4 linked regions of the Arabidopsis thaliana genome follow. The protein of the gene in region 1 interacts with the protein of each later gene in a pairwise test. Each region holds a gene or a part of one and is shown in the gene's direction. Other genes may lie near its edges. The genes, in order: AT1G73920, AT5G48240, AT1G66760 and CYP94B3.

What was found.
Region 2: the proteins of AT1G73920 (region 1) and AT5G48240 interact in a two-hybrid assay, tested with the Arabidopsis thaliana proteins (one large-scale study listed by BioGRID).
Region 3: the proteins of AT1G73920 (region 1) and AT1G66760 interact in a two-hybrid assay, tested with the Arabidopsis thaliana proteins (one large-scale study listed by BioGRID).
Region 4: the proteins of AT1G73920 (region 1) and CYP94B3 interact in a two-hybrid assay, tested with the Arabidopsis thaliana proteins (one large-scale study listed by BioGRID).

The regions. Positions count from the first base shown.
Region 1 is NC_003070.9:27,788,670-27,796,116, forward strand, and holds AT1G73920 (alpha/beta-Hydrolases superfamily protein), read left to right. Parts: upstream 1-2,067; 5' UTR 2,068-2,524; coding exon 2,525-2,565; intron 2,566-2,926; exon of another isoform or gene 2,927-2,931; coding exon 2,932-3,105; intron 3,106-3,189; coding exon 3,190-3,586; intron 3,587-3,684; coding exon 3,685-3,983; intron 3,984-4,077; coding exon 4,078-4,146; intron 4,147-4,245; coding exon 4,246-4,302; intron 4,303-4,727; coding exon 4,728-4,780; intron 4,781-4,870; coding exon 4,871-4,946; intron 4,947-5,080; coding exon 5,081-6,029; 3' UTR 6,030-6,259; downstream 6,260-7,447. Other genes in the region: ARP4A (actin-related proteins 4A), read left to right, coding at 624-636, 773-864, 994-1,140, 1,228-1,301, 1,454-1,631; AT1G73930 (polarity axis stabilization protein), read right to left, coding at 6,678-6,839, 7,084-7,276, 7,349-7,447.
Region 2 is NC_003076.8:19,557,287-19,562,538, forward strand, and holds AT5G48240 (Rrp15p protein), read left to right. Parts: upstream 1-1,956; 5' UTR 1,957-2,014; coding exon 2,015-2,458; intron 2,459-2,539; coding exon 2,540-2,641; intron 2,642-2,725; coding exon 2,726-2,807; intron 2,808-2,914; coding exon 2,915-2,934; intron 2,935-3,018; coding exon 3,019-3,079; intron 3,080-3,169; coding exon 3,170-3,234; coding exon of another isoform or gene 3,235-3,305; coding exon 3,306-3,391; exon of another isoform or gene 3,392-3,486; coding exon 3,487-3,541; exon of another isoform or gene 3,542-3,616; coding exon 3,617-3,712; intron 3,713-3,807; coding exon 3,808-3,867; 3' UTR 3,868-3,989; downstream 3,990-5,252. Other genes in the region: BBX8 (B-box type zinc finger protein with CCT domain-containing protein), read right to left, coding at 4,433-4,562, 4,647-4,948, 5,051-5,218.
Region 3 is NC_003070.9:24,899,294-24,905,281, forward strand, and holds AT1G66760 (MATE efflux family protein), read left to right. Parts: upstream 1-2,588; 5' UTR 2,589-2,816; coding exon 2,817-3,065; exon of another isoform or gene 3,066-3,143; coding exon 3,144-3,688; intron 3,689-3,884; coding exon 3,885-3,971; intron 3,972-4,057; coding exon 4,058-4,114; intron 4,115-4,207; coding exon 4,208-4,446; coding exon of another isoform or gene 4,447-4,451; exon of another isoform or gene 4,452-4,537; coding exon 4,538-4,743; coding exon of another isoform or gene 4,744-4,761; exon of another isoform or gene 4,762-4,854; coding exon 4,855-4,920; 3' UTR 4,921-5,150; downstream 5,151-5,988.
Region 4 is NC_003074.8:17,973,976-17,979,110, reverse strand, and holds CYP94B3 (cytochrome P450, family 94, subfamily B, polypeptide 3), read left to right. Parts: upstream 1-2,336; 5' UTR 2,337-2,486; coding exon 2,487-4,007; 3' UTR 4,008-4,258; downstream 4,259-5,135. UniProt on the Arabidopsis thaliana protein: Hydroxylase involved in the oxidation of the plant hormone jasmonoyl-L-isoleucine (JA-Ile), a bioactive phytohormone of the jasmonate-mediated signaling pathway. Converts JA-Ile to 12-hydroxy-JA-Ile.

The DNA.
Region 1 (7,447 bases):
GAGACTAAGTTTCTTTCTTCTTTGTTTGTGGGAGAGTAAGGGGATTCTGAGTATTTAAGGTTGGAATCAATTGGTTTGGTGTGTGTGACTATGGACATGAATTGTTATTGCACACATGATGTGTGTTTATTTGTTGCAACACTTGAGTTCTTCATGCTCGTTTCTTATTTGGTGTTTTTGAGTTCATTCGTAAATTGTGCTTCTTGTTGACCACAAGAAAACAAGAATGTTACCGGAATCTCGTTAACAAATTTTTAGAATTTGAAATAGTTAACCAATTGAAATACCAAATTTAGAAAACTTGAGCAACAAAGTCGTTGTAGTATAGTGGTAAGTATTCCCGCCTGTCACGCGGGTGACCCGGGTTCGATCCCCGGCAACGGCGTATTTTTAATTTTTTCATATTTGTTTTTATTTTAGTCCCTTTGTTTTCAGTTTCTTTAGTTTTAGTCCCTCATATTTCAGGTTTGTTTGTTTTAGTCCTTCTCTTCTTTATATTCAACTTCCCAATCCGAGACAAAGTGAAATCACTTAAATAGTTTACTTTCCGGTTCCGTTCTTAAACCTTCCGACGAAGCTCCGGTAGAGAAAACCTCTCTTCACCTCTCCCATTCTCGGCAGCCATGTACGGTGGAGGTAGGTTTTATTTTCGTCCTCTCTAAAATCTCTCTCTGATTGTACAAATTCAGCATTACTTCTTTCCCTTTTCGCTTGAGCTCGTCTCGTAAAGGTGTAAACTTTTCCTTGGTGGGGTTTCTTATATATTGAACAGACGAAGTGTCAGCTATCGTAGTAGACTTAGGTTCTCACACTTGCAAAGCTGGTTACGCCGGAGAAGATGCCCCTAAAGCTGTTTTCCCTTCCGTAAGTCTCATTCTTTACTTCCTCTCTTTTCAATTGGTTAAAGTTAGGTCCTTTTAGTGTAGAGCAAGCAATTCGAGAAATTTAGGTTTTTTGTTGTTGCTGTTGTTGATGTGTTATATAACTTATAAGGTTGTTGGAGCGATAGATGGAAATGGAATGGATATTGATGATGCTGCAAACACCACGGAGGATGCAAAGGAGTCTGATAAAGAAAAAGGCAAAAGGAAGCTTTACACAGGATCTCAAGCTTTGAACTTTCGCCGCGATCAAATGGAGGTCAGTTTTCTTTATTAAACTTCAAAATGGTTAGGGATGAAGATAAATTTTCAGGTCTCTCTATTAGTTGACATTTGTCTGTTCCAGATATTGTCACCTACAAAGGATGGCATTGTAACTGATTGGGATATGGTGGACAATGTATGGGATCATGCTTTTAGGTAATTTGCAGAATCTGTTAGTTTTTGTCTTTAACTGTTTAATCTTTATCTTTTCCATTTATAGTTGATTGATGATTTCATCTGTGTAAATGTTTATTATTCAAGGAATTGTCTAATGATTGATCCCACGGAGCACCCAATGCTACTTGCAGAGCCTCCTCTGAACTCACAGCAGCAGAGAGAAAAGTCTGGTTTCTCTACCTTTTATCGATGCTGAGTTCATCTTGGATTAGGAACAGATTATTCTGGTGGAACATCATCAATGCAGTAATTGAAAGAACGCCTCGAGAAAGACTTGGTAGAAGTAAGGTAGTATACTGGCATCGTTAGGCTCATTCCAGCAAATGTGGTTCTCCAAGTCTGAGTAAGTAACACATTGGATTGCTCTCTAGATCTCGACTCACGTATAAACAGTGTCTTCTCATCGCTAGGGTTTGAGTCTTTTTGTGTACATGACAGGTATGCAGAGCATGGAGCTTCTTACATCCAGAGGAAATGCCCTTAAAAGCTGCTTGAGATCAAGATAACGAGAACCTTTGGAGACAGTCAGAGGGTTTAGGGATTAAGTAATTAGTATCTTTTCATTTATTTAGGCAAATATTAAACACTTTTTTATTATTATTATGAAGCTTTAGAAATAGCTTCGTATAATATAATGTTTCAACGTTAACATACAACAAATGTACTATTTTTCTAAGTGAAAACAACCACAAATGTACTTGTGTGTTTGCCTGTTTGGTAAATCCACCTTCTCCGTTATCCAAAAGTCGAATTTACGTGTCGTAGTTTTTGTCACATTCGTCATTATCCAATAACACATGTCCACGTGTCACCATTTTCTGGTCTCTGGACGGCAAGAATCGCCGACGTGCCCCTATTTAATCGGATTCTCCCATTTTTATTTTATTTTCGTCAGATTCTCTCCAATTTTGTTTTTTCTTTTTAGATTTTTGATTCTCGAATCGCGGCTCCTGTGGGTCTCTGTGTTTTCCTTATTTTGAGTTCGGATTAAATCTCGATCGCGATTTGGTCCAATATCTCCTAGCATCGAGAGATTTCTATTCTGGCTAAATTTTGTGTTTTCTCAGGTGGATAAGAAATTTTCTCTTTGTCGTTTTCCTCGATAATTTTCGGATTACGGCGACGAATCAGATTGTTTTTTGGTTTCAAATTTTCTGATATTTCCAAAAAAACAAAAAAATCTGATTTTTGAGAAAAAAGCAATGCAACGGATCGTGGACAACGCTCTCGCTGTAACCAAAGAGTGAGTCTTTTTTCTTATCGATCATCAGTGGATTCATCTGTGTATGCGCCTATAGTTGTTCTAATGTTTCATAAATGACAAGTAGAGATTTTTAAGTTTTTGATCGTTTGGTGATTATAGTAAGTCTCTTTGTTAATTAGTATTGGTAGATTGTGTTTTTGAGTTTTGTTAGACCATTTTATTCTAGTATCTTCATTCAAAGCTTCGTCTTTTAGAGTTGATGTTGGCTATGAACTTTGAGTCGGTGAAATGACTATTTCTTTTTTTTTGGTTCGTCTTTTTGTTAGATGTTCTTCTTTTCCCTTATGTTGTCTAACAAGCTTAAACTAAATAAGCTTTTTGATTATGTTTTGGCTTTTAGTGCAGATCAGTAAAAACTGTTACATATGAGTCTTTGAATAACATTGCGAGGTGCATAAATGGAGTATCAGCTCTTCTGTTGACCCTTCTCCCAGGGAAGGCTAATATTCTTGAAGGCTTACATGGCTGGGAACTCAGGCCTACGTTTCGTGGACCACGTTTACCACGGTGGATGCATAAGTAATAATTTCTCATGATTCTTCTGTTGTTAGTTTATTTGCAAGCCTTCAAAATATGCTAATTTTACTCTGTTTTTGATGGCAGTGGGGTCTCTTCTTTCAATGAGTTCATTCATGAGCTTTCTGTTGATTCTGATACTTCAAGCTTGGAGTATTCTTCTGGAGAAGATAGTGATGGTCCTTTGCCTCCATCACCATCATCTCAAAGCTCACGCCTCTCTTGGGCTAGCACTTCTGCAAGTTCTGAAAACCACTGGACAGAGTGGATTACGTTCATTCTTTGGTGGTTAATGTTTCCTGTACGGATCTTGCTATGGATACCACAATATATTATAAGTTTATTCTATAAACGAAGTTCAAGAATTCCTGCGAGCCCGAGAAGGCACCAACATTCATCTAGACCTCGTATTAGCAAGACCAACTCAAGCAAAGACCATGATGTTCCCAACCGAACTACTGATAGAAGACGTGGGGTTATTGAGGTTTGTGGATGCACGAACAAATATTCAATGTTACAATCATTTTTGTGATTTTAAACCTTTTGACAAACTCGTCCTACTTAATGTGCTTTATTTTTCAGGATCTTCATCTTGCTATCGAGATCGGCATAGAAGCAATATTTGATTTTTTTCACAAGGCTACGCATCTTCTTCTTTCTCCATCAGAAGCTTTTGCAATATTGTTATCATGGTTCTCATCTTCCAGTCGCAGCCCTAAAGAAAACCATGGTGAGGTTGCTTATGATGAAACTGTGCAGACTGCTACTTTAGGAGATACAGATCCATCCCCCACGGAAAGGCCCGTTGAAAGTCCCACACGTTTATACAACTCTATGAACACTGATACTCGAACGTGTCAAGATGTCATAACAGAGTTGGGGTAAAGGGGCAGATTCGATGTCTCATGCTTCCATTTTTTTTTTCTCTTTCTCAAGTAGTTGATATTTACTTGATTTCTCTCCTACTCTTGGTAGGTATCCTTACGAAGCTATTCGTGTTATTACATCTGACGGATATGTTCTTGTCTTGGAAAGGATACCAAGGTATAACTTTCTTGTTAGATATTAAGCTCGCTTGTGCATGCTTTCCATTCCTGTTACATTGTCTCTTAATGTGATCGTTGACTACTCTTGTCTTTGCAGACGTGATGCAAGGAAAGCTGTTTTTTTGCAGCATGGGGTTTTGGATTCTTCAATGGGGTAAGTTTCATGGTCTAGTTCTTAGATGACTCGTAAACTTTGGAAACTTAGTAAGCTGAAAAGTTGAGGAAGTATTATTTTCTATATCCATGTAGCATAACATTCCTAGGCGTTTCAATGTTCCTGACTCTTTACCCAAAAAAAAATTATTTTCATAATTTGTTCCCTTCAACTTTGCGTGTGTGTTTGATTTGCTCAAGACACAAAAATGGATTTGGGAAAATCTTTTGGTGCGATTAGGAGGGATACTGCTTTCAGTTACTTTAGTTATCTCATCTTCTTTTTTCCCTTTCCTTCTCTCCGATCCTTCTTAAAGATTTAGTTTTGACTTGGAACATCCTATAATCCTCTGATGTTTTGATCTAATATATGTCCTATGAAACATTATTGATTACTCTTTTTCTCTACTGCGTGTTTTTCTTCAGATGGGTATCTAATGGGGTTGTTGGATCTCCGGCTTTTGCTGCGTATGACCAAGGTTCAAGCCTCAAGTTTTTCATTTTCCAATCTTTTATTAATTCACATACGGCAACGATTTATCAGCTTCTTACACTCTTTTCCTTTACAGGCTATGATGTTTTTCTGGGTAACTTTCGGGGTTTAGTTTCAAGAGATCATGTGAACAAGAACATATCCTCAAAAGAGTGAGTTATTGCTTTAAAGTTCACTTCTTACTTAATCTACATGCACTGTCTGGTTTCTTTATGATAGTGGAGTTTCATCATATGTATATATTTGCAAGTTGTACAAATGTTCATTGTTATTGACCAAAATGCAGGTTCTGGCGATACTCCATTAACGAGCACGGTACTGAAGATATCCCAGCGATGATAGAAAAAATTCATGAAATAAAAACTACAGAACTCAAGCTCTGCCAGCCCAATATCGATGAAGAAATCAACCAGGAGGAGCCTTATAAGCTCTGTGCCATCTGTCACAGTCTAGGCGGTGCTGCAATTCTGATGTATGTTATTACTCGAAAAATCAAGGAGAAGCCACACAGACTCTCACGACTAATCCTACTTTCACCTGCTGGGTTTCATGAGGACTCGAACTTAGGTTTCACAATAGTTGAGTACATATTCCTTTTCATTAGTCCAGTTTTGGCTCGCATCGTGCCTGCCTTCTACATACCGACAAGATTCTTCAGAATGCTTCTGAACAAGTTAGCCCGTGACTTTCACAACTATCCTGCTCTTGGTGGATTGGTCCAAACTCTAATGAGTTATGTAGTTGGTGGAGACAGCTCGAATTGGGTCGGAGTCTTAGGATTGCCTCACTACAACATGAACGACATGCCAGCTGTCTCCTTCCGTGTGGCGCAACATCTTGCTCAGATCAAACACACCGGTAAATTCAGGATGTATGATTATGGAAGCAGATCAGCTAACATGGAGGTTTATGGCTCTCCTGAACCGCTTGATCTAGGGGAGTCTTACAAGTTCATCGATGTGCCTGTGGATTTAGTAGCGGGAAGGAACGACAAGGTGATCCGTTCCTCTATGGTGAAGAAACACTACAATGTGATGAGAGATGCCGAGGTCGATGTATCGTTTAATGAGTTTGAGTATGCTCACCTTGATTTCACATTCTCTCACCGTGAAGAGCTTTTGAGATATGTGATGTCGCGGCTTCTGCTTGTGAAACAGACACCAGTTCAACAGAGGCAGACCAGTCAGAAAGGTATGAAGTTGAAGAAGAAGAAAAAGGAGGGTACAGTAGTGTAGTAGCTGAAACCGATCTATGGCCAATGTTCAATGCCTCGTAGAGTTTGGTGTCTTTGTATTGTGATGTTGTGTGTAAGCTTCATGTGTGTGTTCTATGCCAGTATCCTATGGCTTGGCTATAATAGTGTACATATACCGTAAAGATTGATCCCTTGATGAAATGATCTTGTTGTGAGAGATGCTTTTTTCAGCCGTATGGTATATAATAATGTTTCTAGTGGTTTGGTTTCCATGAAAATGATATGATGTCATGAAAGATGCTATGAATCCAGAAAATTCCTCCTTTCCATTGGAAGATCTGAAGAGACCAATTAATCATATAGTTGGCGAATCTTTGCATACTTTGACATAGAACTTCTGTAGGTCATACAGTTTATTCATTTGTCGTAATAATATAAATCATAGTTACAGTTACATGTTTAATGGATCCAAGAAGGATAAATTTATCTGGTTATAGAGTTAAAAATACAGCAGTGATCAGTGATTTCGGTGTTGTGTGATTCTCATGTTTCAAAAGAAAAAACGAGTAAACAATTAGGGAAGATGAAGAATTTTTCTCTTTTTTCTTTGGTACAGTTCAAAGAATGAAACAGAAAAGGGAAGAAAAGAAATCAGAATCCTCATGGACGCCGTAGTGAAGAAGAGCATTCATTGGAGCTCTGATGGATCTTGAAGAAGAGATGCTCTTTGTGGATTTAAAAGCAGAAGTTGCTGCATGTCCTTTGGAAGCACACTGAACACCGCTTGTAGATCCTTCTTCAGTTTCTGAAACGTTCCTTCTGAATCTGCACCTCCTCCTGATTCCAGCGACTGCAAAATATATGTTTTCGATATGTCATAATGGTTCCAAATCTGCTGAAGAGAGAACTAGTTTATGTTTATCATTACGTATTCTACCTAACTATGCAGATATGTACATCGCTAACAAAATAAAATCTATCTTTACATCTCTCAGGCATGTAAGTAATGTTTACATGGGAGTGTCCAAAGAAAAGAATCTAGCACAGAAGTAACATGAACATGAAATTAAGAGTCTAAAGGAAGGTAAACTTACCTTGACTTCCTCACTAATGTGTTTCTCAATGGCATTGAAGGAATCCACAGCTTCCAATTCATTCATCTGAGACGTAATCTGCCTCATATCAGTCTTCATTCTAGCTAGCCTCCATAATCTACGCTGTTCTTGTTCAGCAACAGCTCGCCGTCTTTGGAACCAAGGCGAAAAGTTGGGTCCTCGTAGAAACCGCCTGAAATATAATGAACTGTTTAGCAAGGGAACTAAATATTGGTAGCCCAGAATGAGACAATATTGTTTATACCTATACAAGTCGGGCCAGTTAGATTTCATCCGTTTAGACAAAAACTTCCCTACACCTCTCCCAGATAAATTTGAAAGGAATTCATCAGCACCAAATGAT
Region 2 (5,252 bases), on another chromosome or scaffold:
CACATGGGTTAATGAGCTATTTCTATAACAATGATTGGGTTGCTCTACTAATTGTAGTTTGTTTGACAAAGATTTTTATTCCACTTTTATTTTTTGTTCGATAATTCCTTATCCAAACTTGATTTAAACCCCAATTTTGACCTGAGTTCAACAAATAAACGCAAACTTAGCGAACAGGATGAGACAAATTTTCTATCTCGAAATAGATTAAATAGTTATTAAAAACTTATTCTTTTTATCAGGATTCTTTTGTTCTATTCCTTTCACAACTTTGAATTCTTTGAAGCACTTTTGTATAAAATCACAATCATTTTGTTCAGATTTTGGGAGCTGGAACTGAAGTGTTGTTTCTAAAATCTTATCAAAGGGATGCATGTTGTATTGCTTTTGTGTCGCTTATTAAACTTTCAATTTGCACCCAAACGAGAAATAAGATCAAATCCTCTTGTTTTCATTTAGATTTGTGTTGACATTTGTGTTAGTTTCTTAGTGTAAAGGAACAAGTTTGTGTTGACATACATTCTTTCTTCGTTTTTTCAGTGGCAATTGACAGTTCCTTACTTGCTACTTCCTCTAAGATTGTCACTTACTTGATAAGATGAACAACGATGATGTAAGTTTCTTTTTTTTTTCTAATGTTATAGAATTGTATGATTGAGAATTGGATGTTTTTTCCTGAATTTAGAATTGGTCGGACGAAGAGTGTTGATATTTTCTTCAACTTTGTACTGCTGAGGAAAAAGGGAATAGAAGAAAGACGAGATTAAATATAACTGGAAAAGAGTCCATCATGAGATAGTTTGAAGAAAAATTTGGGAAGAGATATTCATGGGATAAACAATTCAAGAACAAGTATGATGTGCGTAGAAGAACATACACAAAGGTTAAAAACTTGCTTCATAACAGAACTGAAATTACATATGATTCTGTGTAAAGAATAAATATAATTTTTCTTTTCATTACGTTTACCTAAGTATTTAAGAAAGCAAGTAAACATACTTTTAATAACTAAAGGTCGCTGAAAATTCTAAAAATTGTAACGTGAATTCTCAAAACTGTAAAAACTGATTCTTTTTATTGTACCCTATATGTTAACGTTAATTCTCATAACTCTAAATTCTTATTTTTCCATCAAAATCATGACGTCAATCAAACTGTTAAAAGGCGAGATACAAATATAAATATTGTACTAATATTGTTAATCTGAAATATCTACTATTCAAACATATTTGTTTGAAGTATATCATATTACATGATACATTTTTTGGTGATGAATCAAATTGATGAATAAACATTTCAATATGAAATTTACTTGTTTTTGAATAATTATGTAATACTTTTTTTTATTAGTTATATTTTGTAAAAAAATATAATATTTTATTATAAATTTCATCAATTGACACATATTCATTCATGACAATTTTTTTATCAAGCTTGAGATCCTCAAAATGGTTTTATCATTAGTTATATTTAAAATTTTAACATTAAATCATAATAATATAAAAATTTGGTGTTTTTCAGTTTTCTAAAATTATAAATTATATTATTTTGGTATTTTGTATTTACCGTTATCGCACATGCTAGTTAACCAACTATAAAACTTCAACAAACGTAAAATTTAACCGCTAAATCAATCATTTAAAATATATGATAACTCTTAAAACCGCAACTCTCCGTTTCCATAAATTTCAGCAGTCTGCATTTGAACCATTCAAGCCTCGTAGTTTGGTCAAGAACCGATTACGCGGCCAAATCTTATATCCGACGCTAAGTCGCTAACCATGTGGAAACCATTATTTATCAATAGAAATCAAAACGACAAAACCCGACCTAAACCGAAATCTCAAATTCGAACCCAAATCCAACTTACAAACCTGACCTTAACCGGAAATCAGAATCCGAAAACATTTTCCCTTATAGCAAGGTTTAAAGAAAGCAATAACAAAACCCTATCTCTCGTCTCTTCTCCCCCAAACTCTCGCCGCCGTGATAACCCAAAGTTCTCGACGAAGCCATGTCTACCGGAGAAGAAGGTCACATGGCGATGGCAGATAGAGGCTCTAGAAAGAGAAGAGTCGGCGTTAAGAAAGGTACTAAAGCGGCGAGGAACAAAAAGCAAAAATCAAAACCTTCTACTTCCGATAGGTTTAAGGTTACAATGAAGAATCAAAAGCTATTTCAGAAGAGAGCACGAGATTACAATTCCGATGACGATGAAGAAGAAGATGATGAATCGAAGAAACAACCAGAAGTAACAATTCGTGAGAAGATCTTCTCTGATGCTAACATGGGACCAAATTACGAAGAGATTGGAGAAGAAGATAATGATGAGAATTCAGATGGTGAAGATCATGGAGAGATTGAATCTGGAATCACTAAGTTTGCTACTGATGGATGTAATGCTTTCAAAATCGCTTTTAAAGCTATTATGAAGAAGACTAAAGGAGATGATACATTGGTGAGATTTTATAGCAGATTCTAGTTTTGAGTTTTGATTTGGGAATATAGTGTTGAACTGTGTTGGTGTTGTGTGTAATAGGGCCCAGTTTTATCAGCACATAAGCATCTTATTGGAGAGAAGCTAGCTGAAGATGAAGCTGAAAAGAAAGCTAAAGGTCAAGCTAGAAAGGCTAAACATTTGGTATGAGTTTGGTTGTTGTGTTCACTATTCGTTTGTGTTCTTGTGTTTTAGATGATGATTTATCTTAACAATTGCTTTTTTAAGATTGCTGAGAAGGGACATGTTAAACCTGGAAGTTATTTGGATTCTCATGAAAAGATTCTTATTGGTGTTGCTACTAAAGGAGGTATTGTTGCTTTGGTTAAACTCTCTGTTTCTTGAGATTGTTTGGTTTTTTTTTTTTGTTTTAGTATTGACTCTTTTTTTCCTCTCCATGAACTTGTGGTATCACAGTGGTCAAGCTTTTCAATGCTGTAAGTTTGTTTCTATGTCTATTTTTGAGGTTTTTATTCTCCGGTAGTGATTCGTATGATTCTTAGTTTATGTTTTTCAAATAGGTCAACAAGGCTCAACATGCTCAGAAGGGTTTGAATCCTTCAAGGTCTAAAGACGCTAAAGGTAGGCTTAGAAATTGATCGTTGGCATGAATCCACTGTCTTGTTCTTATCTTCTAATTCTCGTTTTTTATCCTATTGGAACATCCATCAGTGCTGAAGAAGCGAAGAAAAGAAGCATTCTTGTCTGAGTTAGGGAAAACAAAAACAGACACCAAGGTTTGGCATAGTCTCCATATCTCTTACTCTCTCTCTTTCATTATGATTTATCTTGAGAGTTTATTCCTTAGCCGTTTGATGCACGTAGAAACAAGTTAGTATTCTGTCTTGATCTAGCTCCTATAGAGAGTCACGAAAAGAATCACCTCATGAGTGAGTGATAGATGTTAGTTATAAATCAGAAGTATTCTTAGTAAATTACTAGTAACAATTTTGAATGTTCTTAAAGCCTTCAACTTTGGATGAACATAGAAGCAAGTTAGTATTCTGTCTTGAGCTGGCTTCTATAGAGAAAGGATCACCTTCAGTAGCGAGAGCCGTTAGTTATAAGTCTAAAGTATTGTTGGTTAGTTAACTAGTGATATTCTGTTGGATGGTGCAGGCTCACAAATCTGAAGACGAAGCTCCTGTTTGGGCTCCTCTACGAGATAATTACATGTTAGCAAACCCAAAACTGAAGGACTGGGACAAGAAACAGGTATCTCTTCATTCTTATCCACAAATCTGGAATCACATAGCTTGCATACTGATTTATACTCTTTGATCTGAAACTTAAAATTGAATTGTCCGCAGGAAACAAGCGAGGGAGATGATTTTGCCGGTTTGTCAGGAGATGAAAGTTATGAAGACTGAAGAGTTTAAACTAGTAGTTAAACGAGCAAACTTTAATTTTGCCTTTGTATCATGCAAATTTTGTCTGATCAATATGAATGAATTCAGTTTTTTGATAGTGCAAAAGGATCCTGAAAGGTTGTGATTCTTGTGGTTACGCTTTTAGAAAATACACTTGTTAGTATCATTAACCAATACCGTAAATATAGAAGTGATGATACTCCAAACTTCTACATGGTTATTATTTATATGACGTAAAAAAAATATACATTCGTTGTTTTGCCTTGGCTACACAAATTATAATAGGACAAAATTTAAGGATCATGAACCTGAATCTGTAGAAGAGTTTCTAGTTTCACAGTCAAGTCATGATGCCAAATGACAGAAGAAGATAACAAACTTTATGCAAAAAATGAGGCAGAACTGCAGAAGCATGCGCCTTTCTAAGCAAGTATGACGCTTTTGAGGCGGAGAACTCGTGTTCCTTTTCAACCAATAATGGCTTCCAGATCCATCGCTGCCAATTAGTTGCATCTCTGTCTTATATCTCCACTTTGTGATCTTTCATTGTTTTGAGGTTTTATCCTCAGTAGCTTCTTGTTGGGCTCATCGGGTCGTAATCATAAGCTTCACCGGACTTGACAAACCGTCCTTTCACACGCCGTCTCACATCAGCCCTTTCTTTCCTAGAGACATACCTTACTCGCTTGTCAAACCTATTTATACAAAATATGTTAAATATTAGCTATAACAACTTTCAATGATGAATTAAATTCCTTTCTGTGTGCGTTTATACTTACTTGCGAGCCTTCTTCTTTTCCTTGTAACGCATAACAGCGTTATTACGTGTTGTTGCATGTGAGGAAGCAATAATGTCCTGTGCTGTTGGATGGCACCATGGTTGTGGCTCCCTTGAAAGCTGCTTCATCGATGACGCCCCACAATCTTGGAAATCTCCAGCATTACTTTCTCCAGTGATGCCAGAGAAGGAGATATTCGAATGTGCTGGCTTTGATGAATAGCAAATTATTGGCTCGGTTCTACAAGTCATGAACGAATCTGCAGATGCATTATTGCTTAATGCTGGCTGCTGCATTGAGCCCTGAATTGAGAAAACACACAAAAGAGCATAAGGATCACAGAAAAAAATCATCCTTAACTTTAGTGATACTAGTCTCAGATAGAAGAAGAAGGTTGACAAAACCTCATGAGCTTCATCTTTCTCGAAAAGACTTCCAATTCCACCGTGCTCGAAGAGATATCTTGATGAGTTGAAGGCTGAACCAAAGAGTTCTTCATAGTTCTCAAGAGCCAAGTCTACTTCATCTGAAATGAGATTTCCATTGAAGTCATCCTCACATACTCCAAGCTCCTACAACCAGTACAATAATAAGAAACATTTAGAC
Region 3 (5,988 bases), 2.9 Mb from region 1:
TCGCGGAAACAACTCTTTTGCGATAGATCTCAACTTCACCAATCGGATCTCTTTCATCGATTAGATTGATAAAGTTATTCCATGTCAAAGGAAAAAAACAAAGAGATAGTTGGATTATCAAGATGCATGAAGTATGTGGAGTGCTTTTTTAAACCAAGTGAACGTAAATATGAATTTGTATACATAATACATGTGATTAGAGTTAGTTTAACATAAGTAAAAAAGAAAGTTGAAACTATCAAAATGCTCTGTGTAAGTATTAATTATTTCTTCCAACACACGATGTCAGAAGTCAGAACCGATTATTAATACTTTTCTCAACAACTTCTGTTTCTTTATTTATTTTTGATAACTTCGACGAGGATAAGTAAGAAAATGGCTTCCTCTTTTTCAGTGTGTATAATGCAGTTCTTGACTGGACTACTCTCAATTGGATATCACGGATTGTGAATACATATTCTCGGTTATAACTTTTAACTTTATAAGTTATACTTTTATTTAGTTTCACAATAAGTGTGGTTTAATTCTTACAAGTTTGTATCAAAATAGGTATTGTTTTATATTTTGAATGTAGTTACAGTATTTGGTGAAATTGCAATTCTATTCTTACTATTTTAATGTATTGACCAATAAAAAAAAGTTGTATAATATATTAATAAGAGATAAACAAAAAAAATGTTTTTACTATATGTGAAGAACCTGTAAATGACATTGTGAATACATATATTCTCGGTTATAACTTTTAACTTTATAAGTTATACATTTCTTTCTTTTCACAATAAGTGTCGTTTTAGTGTTAAAATTTTATTTCAAAATAAGTATTGTTATTATTTTTAGTGTAGATATTTGGTAAATATTCAATTTTAATGTATTGACCAATTATAAAAAATTGTATAATATATTAATAAGCGATAGACAAAAAAATCTAATTGTTTTTTTACTATATGTGAAGAACCTGTAAATGACATTTATACTAAAACGTAAAAAGTATGTATGATATATTGAATCAAAAATAATACTAGTAATCAGTAGTTAAGTTACATCTATTTTGTTAACGAAATAGTAAAAAAAAATGTCATTAAGAGACGGATTTATTATTGATATCAAGTAGAGCAAAATTTGTTTGTTTAGAAACACAAACAAAATCTTAACTTTGGCGGTTTAGTCTGACTAATTTCAAATTTATGTTGTGGAGTATATAAAGTCGATAGTACTTTTTAACAATGATTTTGAAAACTAAAACTTTATGTTATTGGAGTATTATCATGGATTGGAGTTTTTGTCAATGAATTAACATGGAGATGTGGATTAGGTTAGGTTCATCGAGATATGTATTTAAAGTTGAAACATGTGTTTTATTATTATTCTTTTCATTTATTTATTTTTTTCTTTCTGTCGGTCAGTATTGAAACATGTGTTTAGTTTCATTTGTCCTCTCAGGCCTCAGCATGTCTAGTCTAGGAGTATTCTTTATGTTTCAAAATATAAGAGGTTTTAGTTAAATATGCAGATTAAGAAATATCCATTTTTAAAAAAATTCAACCATTCATAAAAATATCATATAATATAAATAATTATAAAATATTAAATTAATCTATAGTTATGTTACACAATTTACATAAATCACGCTGTCATGAGTAGTCTTTTTCATATATCATCTATTGACAAAATAACAATTTATCTTGTTGTTCTTTTGAAAACTAGCTATTACTACATATATTATACATTTTTTTTCTCATAAGTGGTTTAACGCTGACAAAAAAAATCTATTGTAAGATGGTAACCACTGAAAGCCATCTTAGGTTCAATACTTAAATAAATGATATGATATTAAAAATATTGATCATGGACCGATGTTTATCGATTTGAGCCAATGCAATCAATACGAAGAGAGACTTTTATTCCTTATTCTTTAGAAATGTATATCTCATTTTATGACTAATTAAATAATAACTGATGATCAGTATGTGGTTCTATACATTTAAAAATCTTCTAATTCAGTTTTTTTTTTTTTTTTGGTATCGATGTTAAGTATTTATACCGTTTTCAAGTTTGAGACAGAATACAGAGTAAACAATAGAAGCAAAAAAAAAAAAAAAAAAAAAAAAAGGGAGAAAGACTACGACTAAAGGAACTACGAATACAAGAGATAACACGATAAGAAACACAAAGCGAAGCAACTAGTAAAGGCTTGAAGAGGAAACACCGATTCTAATTCAGTTTTCATATCTGTTTGATACTCTTAAGGTATTATATTGTTCTGTGTTCCAGTTCTATCTCATGCTAATCAAAAATATTGTTAATACCACTCTTGCCTTTTTCAAGAACCGACATGATTTTTAAGTTTTAACCACAAATGTATTTGATTGGTAAAAGGTTCTAAAAAGTTTCAACAACTCACAAAGCCTTAAAACTGAACCATTCATGTTTTACTTTTCTTTTTAAGGCTATACAACCAAAACAAACTTTATGTTGTCTAATTAATTTCTCTGGCATAAAAAAAAAAAAAGACTCCACAACTAAAATCTTTTAAGTACAAACTACAAATAGGAACCAATTATTAGTTACTAGTTAGGATGCATCTTCTTCTTACACGTGCTGAATTCTATCTTTTGACTTAAATGAGTGAGATGATAAAAGTCGAAAACGATTTCGCTTTTATACGCGGAAGCGGAAACGTGTTTATTTTCTTTTCTTCGAGTCGCGACGTCGCATATATTATTTATCAAAATACAAATTTTATTATATCAAAATCATAAAGCTAAATAAATACGACACAACTTCCAACATTTTCTCTAACCAGAAAGAAAAAAAAAATGAAGAAGAGTATCGAAACTCCGTTATTGTTGAACACCAAACAATCACAAGACGAAGATAAAGAAAAAATAAGATGGGAGAAGATGAAGAAAGTTGCTTCAATGGCTGCTCCAATGGTCGCCGTGAACATGTCTCAATACCTTCTTCAAGCAACTTCTACAATGATCGTCGGTCACCGGAGCGAACTCGCTCTCGCCGGAATCGCTCTAGGAAGCTCCTTTGCTAATGTTACCGGCTTTGGTGTTCTTGTAAGCAAGTATATGAACCTTTATATATATATATGTATTGGATTAATTTGTTTCTAATTATTGTTGTATACTATATAGTTTGGACTTTCAGGTTCATTGGAAACACTATGTGGTCAAGCATATGGAGCAAAACAATATCACAAGCTTGGATCTTACACTTTCACTTCAATAGTTTTCCTTTTGATTATCTCTGTTCCGATTTCGATTCTTTGGATGTTCATGAACCAGATCTTGCTGTTGCTTCATCAAGATCCTCAAATAGCAGAGTTAGCTGGTGTGTACTGTCTCTGGCTGGTACCAGCTTTATTCGGTTACTCTGTTCTCGAGTCGTTGGTTCGATATTTTCAGTCACAAAGCTTGATTTATCCAATGGTCTTGAGCTCTCTAGCTGCTCTGTCTTTCCATGTTCCTCTCTGTTGGCTAATGGTTCATAAATTTGATTTTGGAGCCAAAGGAGCGGCTGCGTCTATCGGTATCTCTTACTGGCTCAACGCGGTTTTTCTTTGGGTTTATATGAAACGCTCTAGTCGTTGTGTCGAAACGCGGATTTATATGTCCAAGGATGTTTTTGTTCATACAAATATCTTCTTTCAATTTGCCATTCCTTCTGCAATGATGTGTTGGTAAGTATGTACAACTTTATTAAAAATCCATATAGAATTAACCAAGTGATGGTAGTCTAGTGGTGGTCATTGTTTTGTGGATAGGTGAAAGATTTAAAATCTTAGGTTACATAAATAAATGTGTAATGGATTTTTTTTCCCTTCACTAATATTCTATTGACACTTATTTTCTTATTGCTCTTGCTTCCTTCAATAGCCTTGAGTGGTTAGCTTTCGAGGTCATTACTTTGCTGTCTGGTCTTCTACCCAACTCAAAGCTCGAAACATCGGTTATTTCGATTTGGTAATGTATCGAACCGCAAAACTATATAATCTGTGATACTTATATTTTCTTTCATTTTCTAAGCCTTAATTTTTGGGATTGAGCAGCCTCACGACCTCTTCATTGCATTACAATCTAGTAAATGGAATTGGTGATGCAGCAAGGTTTGTTCTTACTTTAATACTCTTACATCGAATTTTCACTTCATTTTATTTTCGAAGAATTAATGTTTCATTTTTTTTTGTTTCGTTGGTTAGCACCAATGTGGCTAATGAGCTAGGAGCTGGGAATCCGCGAGGGGCTCGTGATTCTGCTGCGGCTGCAATCATAATTGCAGCTGTTGAGTCAGTTATTGTGAGCTCTAGTCTGTTCTTGTCTCGCAGTGTGTGGCCTTATGCATATAGCAATGTGGAGGAAGTAATTAGTTATGTGACTGATATCACTCCTATTCTTTGTATCTCAATCCTCATGGACAGCTTCTTGACCGTCCTCTCCGGTTAGCCTTTCTTAACACGCATCTCCGGTTTTGCAACCATGTTATTATTTTTTTGTGAACGTGAACCGAATATATGTTTTGTTTTGTTTAGGGATTGTGAGAGGAACAGGGTGGCAAAAAATTGGAGCTTATGTGAACATAACCTCTTATTATGTCATTGGTATTCCTGTTGGACTTCTATTGTGTTTTCATCTTCACTTCAATGGGAAAGGACTTTGGGCTGGTTTAGTCACAGGATCAACATTACAAACTCTAATCCTATTTCTTGTTATTGGATTTACCAATTGGAGCAAAGAGGTGATTGTAACCGCGTAACTCGCTTTTTTCTGTTTCTAATCCATCATTCGATTTTTCGAGAAATCGAGCTAATATTTGTTTACACATTTTTTCTTCAATGAAATTTTGCAGGCAATTAAGGCTAGGGAGAGAATTGGTGATGAGAAAGTTTGGAGACATGACTCATTGCTTAATTGAAGAAAAAAAGAAATACAAACTTTTGGGGGATTTTGATTGCTTCTTTTTTTGTGTGTGTTTGTGCAATAACCTTCAGTTGATTGTAATTTATATTGAAAGTACATTATAGTCTTTCATATGATATTAGAGTGTAAGAAAGTTTGAAAATATATCTCAGTTAAAAAATGATCTGGTATATAATAGATGAATTAAAGAGTGACCAAAGTTGATTGGTTCAAGCTTAAAACTTCTATACTATAAAGTCTATAATACAACTTTACGTGGCCAAAAAACAAATAATGAACCAAAGAGAGAGTATCTTGAAAGGATATACTCAAAGAATTAAAGAAGTCAAAAAGCAAATTTGAATACTTTCTCCGACAAGAGATGCTCATAAGAGTCAAGGTGAGTAGGTAATTGTTATGGCAGAAAACACGTGGAAGCAACGACACGTCATACATAATATTGAAGATTAACAAAAAGTTAAATTAAATCAACATCAATCCAAGAAACAAAAATGTATGGACTTGCAAAATCAGTTATACAATGAGGTGAATCCAGCCTCGCAGAAGTCCATGTTCAAGTCCAGTTTTGCACCAATATAGTATATTGGTTTCATGGACGTAAGAGTCTTGTCAAATGAATCCAGCCGCGCATCAGTCCATGTTCAAGTCCAGTTTTGCACCAGTAAATTGGTTTCACGAACGTGAGAGTCTTGTTAAATGAATCTAGCCTCGCTTCAGTCCATGTTCAAGTTCAGTTTTGCATCAAGATATTGATTTCATGAACGTAAGAGTCTTGTCATGGAACTCCTAACAATAAATAGATTGACCCATATCATTTTTATATTACGTTCTCGGTTACATCACACTTTTAATGTTGGATTCCTGATACGCCTGCTCAAGAGGAGGGGTTTTCAATTATATTTCAATTGAACCTCATTCTAAAACTAGCAATAAACCCAACTTGGTATTGAAACTTAAATTTTGGGATGTTACGTTGGACATTTTTCCGAAAACTAATTTTCGGCAAATTTGTCACTCGAAACTACATTGAGAACGTTGGATTCATCTAATCTACAAGCACTAT
Region 4 (5,135 bases), on another chromosome or scaffold:
AGGGTTTGACTATTATACAAAGAGTAACAGAGTCTGTTACGATTATCATCTTCTTCATCTGTTTTCTTCTTTGAAGTTTTCTTGTATCGAGAGAGAGAGAACTTGAGAGAATCACCATTGTTGTAAGCTCGGTTTTAGTTGTACTCTTCATAAAGCTTAGTGGATTTGCCGAATTGATTCGGCTCCGGATGTAGGCTTGATCACACCGATCTTGCTGAACCGGGTAAACAAATCGTGTGTCTTTATTCTTCGTTTTCTGTTCTCTGATCTTGCATAAGTTGAGATCGATCATTCGCAACATCATTTCGATCGTTCTTAACGCTGAATTGAATCTAATCGGAGCTCAATTTCGTAAGAAGTTGTTATTGAACTTGAAACATTTCATTAAACTTGCAAAAGAAAAAGTGAGAAGACGTGAGAAGAGGTGAAGCAAAAGATCGTTTACCATAAGAAAGGAAAGAAGAAGAAGCTAATAGAGTTCATGTCGAGAGGAAGAAGATAACTCAACAACAACAACAACAAGAAACAAGTCATGGATTGAGGCTAAAAGGCTATGTGAAGTTTTTTTGCTTCTGCCTTTCTTTGCTTTTCATTTGGCTTACAATTGATATTGAACATGATGTAAGTATATGCTAAAACGAATTTTATTTTATCATGTTAGTTTTAGAACAAGGTAATTAGTTATTACACCGACTCTATTAGACTTTAATAAATTTCTCATGCATTCTAGATTGTGATTGATCACAAAAATTGTTTTCTACACTGCTTTGGCGTCTATTGATCAAATAAGTTATGAAATTTCTCATCCACTTACAATAAAATTTTCAAAAAAAAAAATAGAAACCTTTATTTGTCAAAATTATCATAGAAATCTGGTATAACTATTACATTACAACATCAACAACGAAATGTTGTATACATCTGGAAAAATATCTCTTGTATAACCCACGAGTTCTTTGGACGGTGAAGTCATGAAGACAAAAAACGGTTGTTCCTTTTCTTAAGTCATTTTTTTTGCGTGCTACCAATCAATTATGTTGGCTCATATAATTTATAGAACGGCGCCGTTATTTTTGTTCAATTCCGTAATTATTTTGTGTGCGAGCAAGAAAAGACGGTATCGACAACGTGAGTGGCTGAAATCAAGTTCATCTTTCTTTCGTCTCATATAAAACTGACTTTACTGGTTAAATTCAAGCCTAAAGAAACACGTGCACAATTGAATAGCTCTTGTTCGAGTGGGAACAGTTTTGTCAGGCTCTTGCTAGTATTTGTTTTCTTCTTTTCAATGTTTACTTTTCTACATTTCGCCTCCAGATTTATTTGACACCCGACCATTTTATCAAAAGTATAATCGCTTAATTATTTTTAAGACATTAGAATAGTGATTATTAACACATATTGTAAGCCGGAGCGAAATTCATGTTTTCAAGCTACCATTCAAATTTCAACTATACCATTAATACATGTATTATATTCTAGAAACCACGGTTCGATTCAAATTTTGACCTAACAAATATTAATATAATGTTTGGATGTTTCGTAATATTGTAACCATTAATGGAGATGTCGTATATCATTTGAGTTTTTTTGTTAACCATTCAAAGTACACTATAATTAATTTAGTTACTTTAATATAGGTCTATTTTCCTTGCGTCATAGTCTCTATCGTGGTTTTGTCGGAGATATGCCACGTTCTAAAACTTTGGACTTCTGCGTCGCCAAAGCGTTTGCAACACGTCAAATTAGGAAACACAAAAGCGGCTTAGATAGCAAACGAGCGATAAATAAAGGGTCAAGTAAGCCAAACAATATGTAATAAACGAATAAATTAATTAAAAGAAATGTTTGATGTCCTATTAATTTTATAAATTCTTTTTTTTTGTTTTTTTTTTAATTTTATAAATTCCTTATACACAAATGTGGTTTTTTCAGGAAAGTTGTTCAATGTGCTTATTACAATATTAATCATTTGATGATACATACTCACAGTTACACTAACAGTTCAATATCCTGATGGAGCTTATCACTAAAAGAGAAAATCTATACTACAGTATTAGGAACTCGAAACAATATCGTCATCCTAAAAGAGACAAAATAGCCTGACTAAACATTTATATTTTCGTTAGGACAATTCTCAAAAAAAGATACTATATATTAGACTAAAAAAAGGAATGAAACAGTGACATACAGCTACACTAAAGACAAAAAAGGAGATAAAATAATATCTCCGTAGACACATAATAGTATAATACCGTGTTACGTCGATCAAAATGTGATATAAGAAATCAAATTAATACTAAAAGCGATATGTTTCGGGACAGATTGGTCCGGACCCGCCACCTTTCCCTTTCTATATACACACACGCAATACCCACCAAGAACACACACAAACACTTAATTAGCAATATAAAAAGCACATTCACAAACTCTTTCCAACACACCAACACAAAAAAAAAACCAAGAACAAAAAACAATTAAACAATATGGCATTTCTTCTGAGTTTTTTGATACTAGCGTTTCTTATAACCATCATCTTCTTTTTATCTTCATCTTCAACTAAAAAAGTCCAAGAAAACACCACATATGGACCACCATCGTATCCACTCATTGGCTCCATACTCTCTTTCAACAAAAACCGTCATCGTCTTCTTCAATGGTACACCGAGCTTCTCCGTCTCTCTCCGTCTCAAACCATCTTAGTTCCTCTCCTCGGCAACCGTCGCACCATCATCACAACAAACCCATTAAACGTCGAGTACATTCTCAAAACAAACTTCTTTAACTTCCCTAAAGGTAAACCTTTTACTGATCTTCTTGGTGATCTTCTCGGTGGAGGCATATTCAATGTCGACGGTCACTCATGGAGCTCGCAGCGCAAACTCGCTAGCCACGAGTTCTCCACTCGCTCGCTTAGGAGTTTTGCTTTTGAGGTTCTTAAAGACGAAGTGGAGAACCGTCTAGTCCCGGTTTTATCCACGGCGGCTGATGTTGGTACGACCGTGGATTTGCAAGATGTTTTGAAACGTTTTGCTTTTGATGTTGTTTGTAAAGTCTCGTTGGGTTGGGATCCGGATTGTTTGGATCTAACCCGACCCGTTAATCCACTTGTGGAGGCTTTTGACACCGCTGCTGAGATTAGTGCTCGCCGTGCCACGGAGCCTATTTACGCTGTTTGGAAAACGAAGCGTGTGTTGAACGTGGGAAGCGAGAGGAAGCTTAGGGAAGCGATCAGGACCGTGCACGTGTTGGTCTCTGAGATTGTCAGAGCTAAGAAGAAGAGTCTTGAGATCGGAACCGGAGCAGAAGCAAAGCAAGATCTTTTGTCGAGGTTTCTAGCCGCCGGCCACAACGGCGAAGCAGTGAGGGACATGGTTATTAGTTTTATCATGGCGGGAAGAGATACAACGTCAGCAGCGATGACGTGGCTGTTTTGGTTGTTGACTGAGAACGATGACGTGGAGCGGAAGATTTTAGAAGAAGTGGACCCGTTGGTGAGTTTAGGGTTAGGGTTTGAGGATTTGAAAGAGATGGCTTACACGAAGGCTTGTCTATGTGAAGCCATGAGGCTATATCCTCCAGTTTCGTGGGACTCTAAACATGCTGCAAACGACGACGTTTTGCCTGATGGGACACGTGTCAAGAGAGGAGACAAAGTGACCTATTTCCCATACGGTATGGGGAGGATGGAGACGCTATGGGGTACGGATTCAGAAGAGTTTAACCCGAACCGGTGGTTTGATTCTGAACCGGGGAGTACACGACCGGTTTTGAAACCTATTAGTCCCTACAAATTTCCGGTTTTTCAAGCCGGGCCGAGGGTTTGTGTAGGGAAAGAGATGGCATTTATGCAGATGAAATACGTCGTTGGTTCTGTTTTGAGTCGGTTTGAGATTGTGCCGGTTAACAAAGACCGGCCGGTTTTTGTTCCTCTTTTAACGGCTCATATGGCTGGTGGGCTTAAGGTGAAGATCAAGAGAAGAAGTCACATCCTTAACAACGTTTAATAGAATATGTAAAAACGAGTTATTTATATATAGAATATCAGTGTGGCAATACTCCTGCCTGCGAAATCAATCTGTATAAATTTGTAAAACATACCAAAACCGAATATAATCAGGTAAGTTTTGGTTCAATTCCTTGAAACATAATTTTTTGCATCGAGTTAGAAATAGAGCTTGTAGTCTTGCCGCTGACCCAAACGAAACCAAATTGGATTGAGCAAACCGAAAATAACCAAATAAGCCCAAAAATCAATAATCTAGTTAGGAACTGGCCATGTAGATGTTGAAGCTAAATGAAATGTGAACAGTGAGAACCAAACCAATGAGAATGTCTATAATGTCAATTCTTTTGCATTGTTGTAGACATGTAGCTTATTCTTAGTTGTAAACATTTGTTAATAAAGTAAACAAAGCGAATGTATTGCAGCATCCGACCTTAGCTCAGTTGGTAGAGCGGAAGACTGTAGTCTGTGACAGCAAATCTTTAGGTCGCTGGTTCGATTCCGGCAGGTCGGATTTTTTGTTTTTTGTGGGATTAACAATATTTAGCCCAACATATAAAGCCCAAGACTATACAGAGACCACAATACAATTCTAATTATAACCCAAATAAACCCTTCAAGGTAGTATAAATAATTATACGCATCTTACTTCAAAAATCTCATCACTCTCTCATTCTCCACAATTTTATTAGTTCACAGAGTTAATCTCACTCTGTAGAATCAACCTAACTTACAAAGGCACACACCGATCGCTTAGATGTCAAGTTGTCAACAATTTTCAGCGAGCAATGATCTATCTTTATATTTTTAAAAGAGAAGAACATTTGAACATTGTCCAAAATCAGTCATTTATTTATTTTAATTGTCATTAGTTATGGGTAAAAATTGTTTAATTATAATTAGAATATATTAGTTTATAGTTAAAATAGTTAATATCAAAATCATTTGTTTAAGGAAATACTAAATTTTTATTTCTCCATTGGTTTTAAAAAAATATATATATATATATTTTTTATTAATTAGAAAAAATATTTTCTTTAATTAATTAGAAACATTTCAAAGATTTTATTAAAATGTTTCGTCTCATCTTTGTATGATCATATTTCGAAAACAGTAGAAAATACATAAT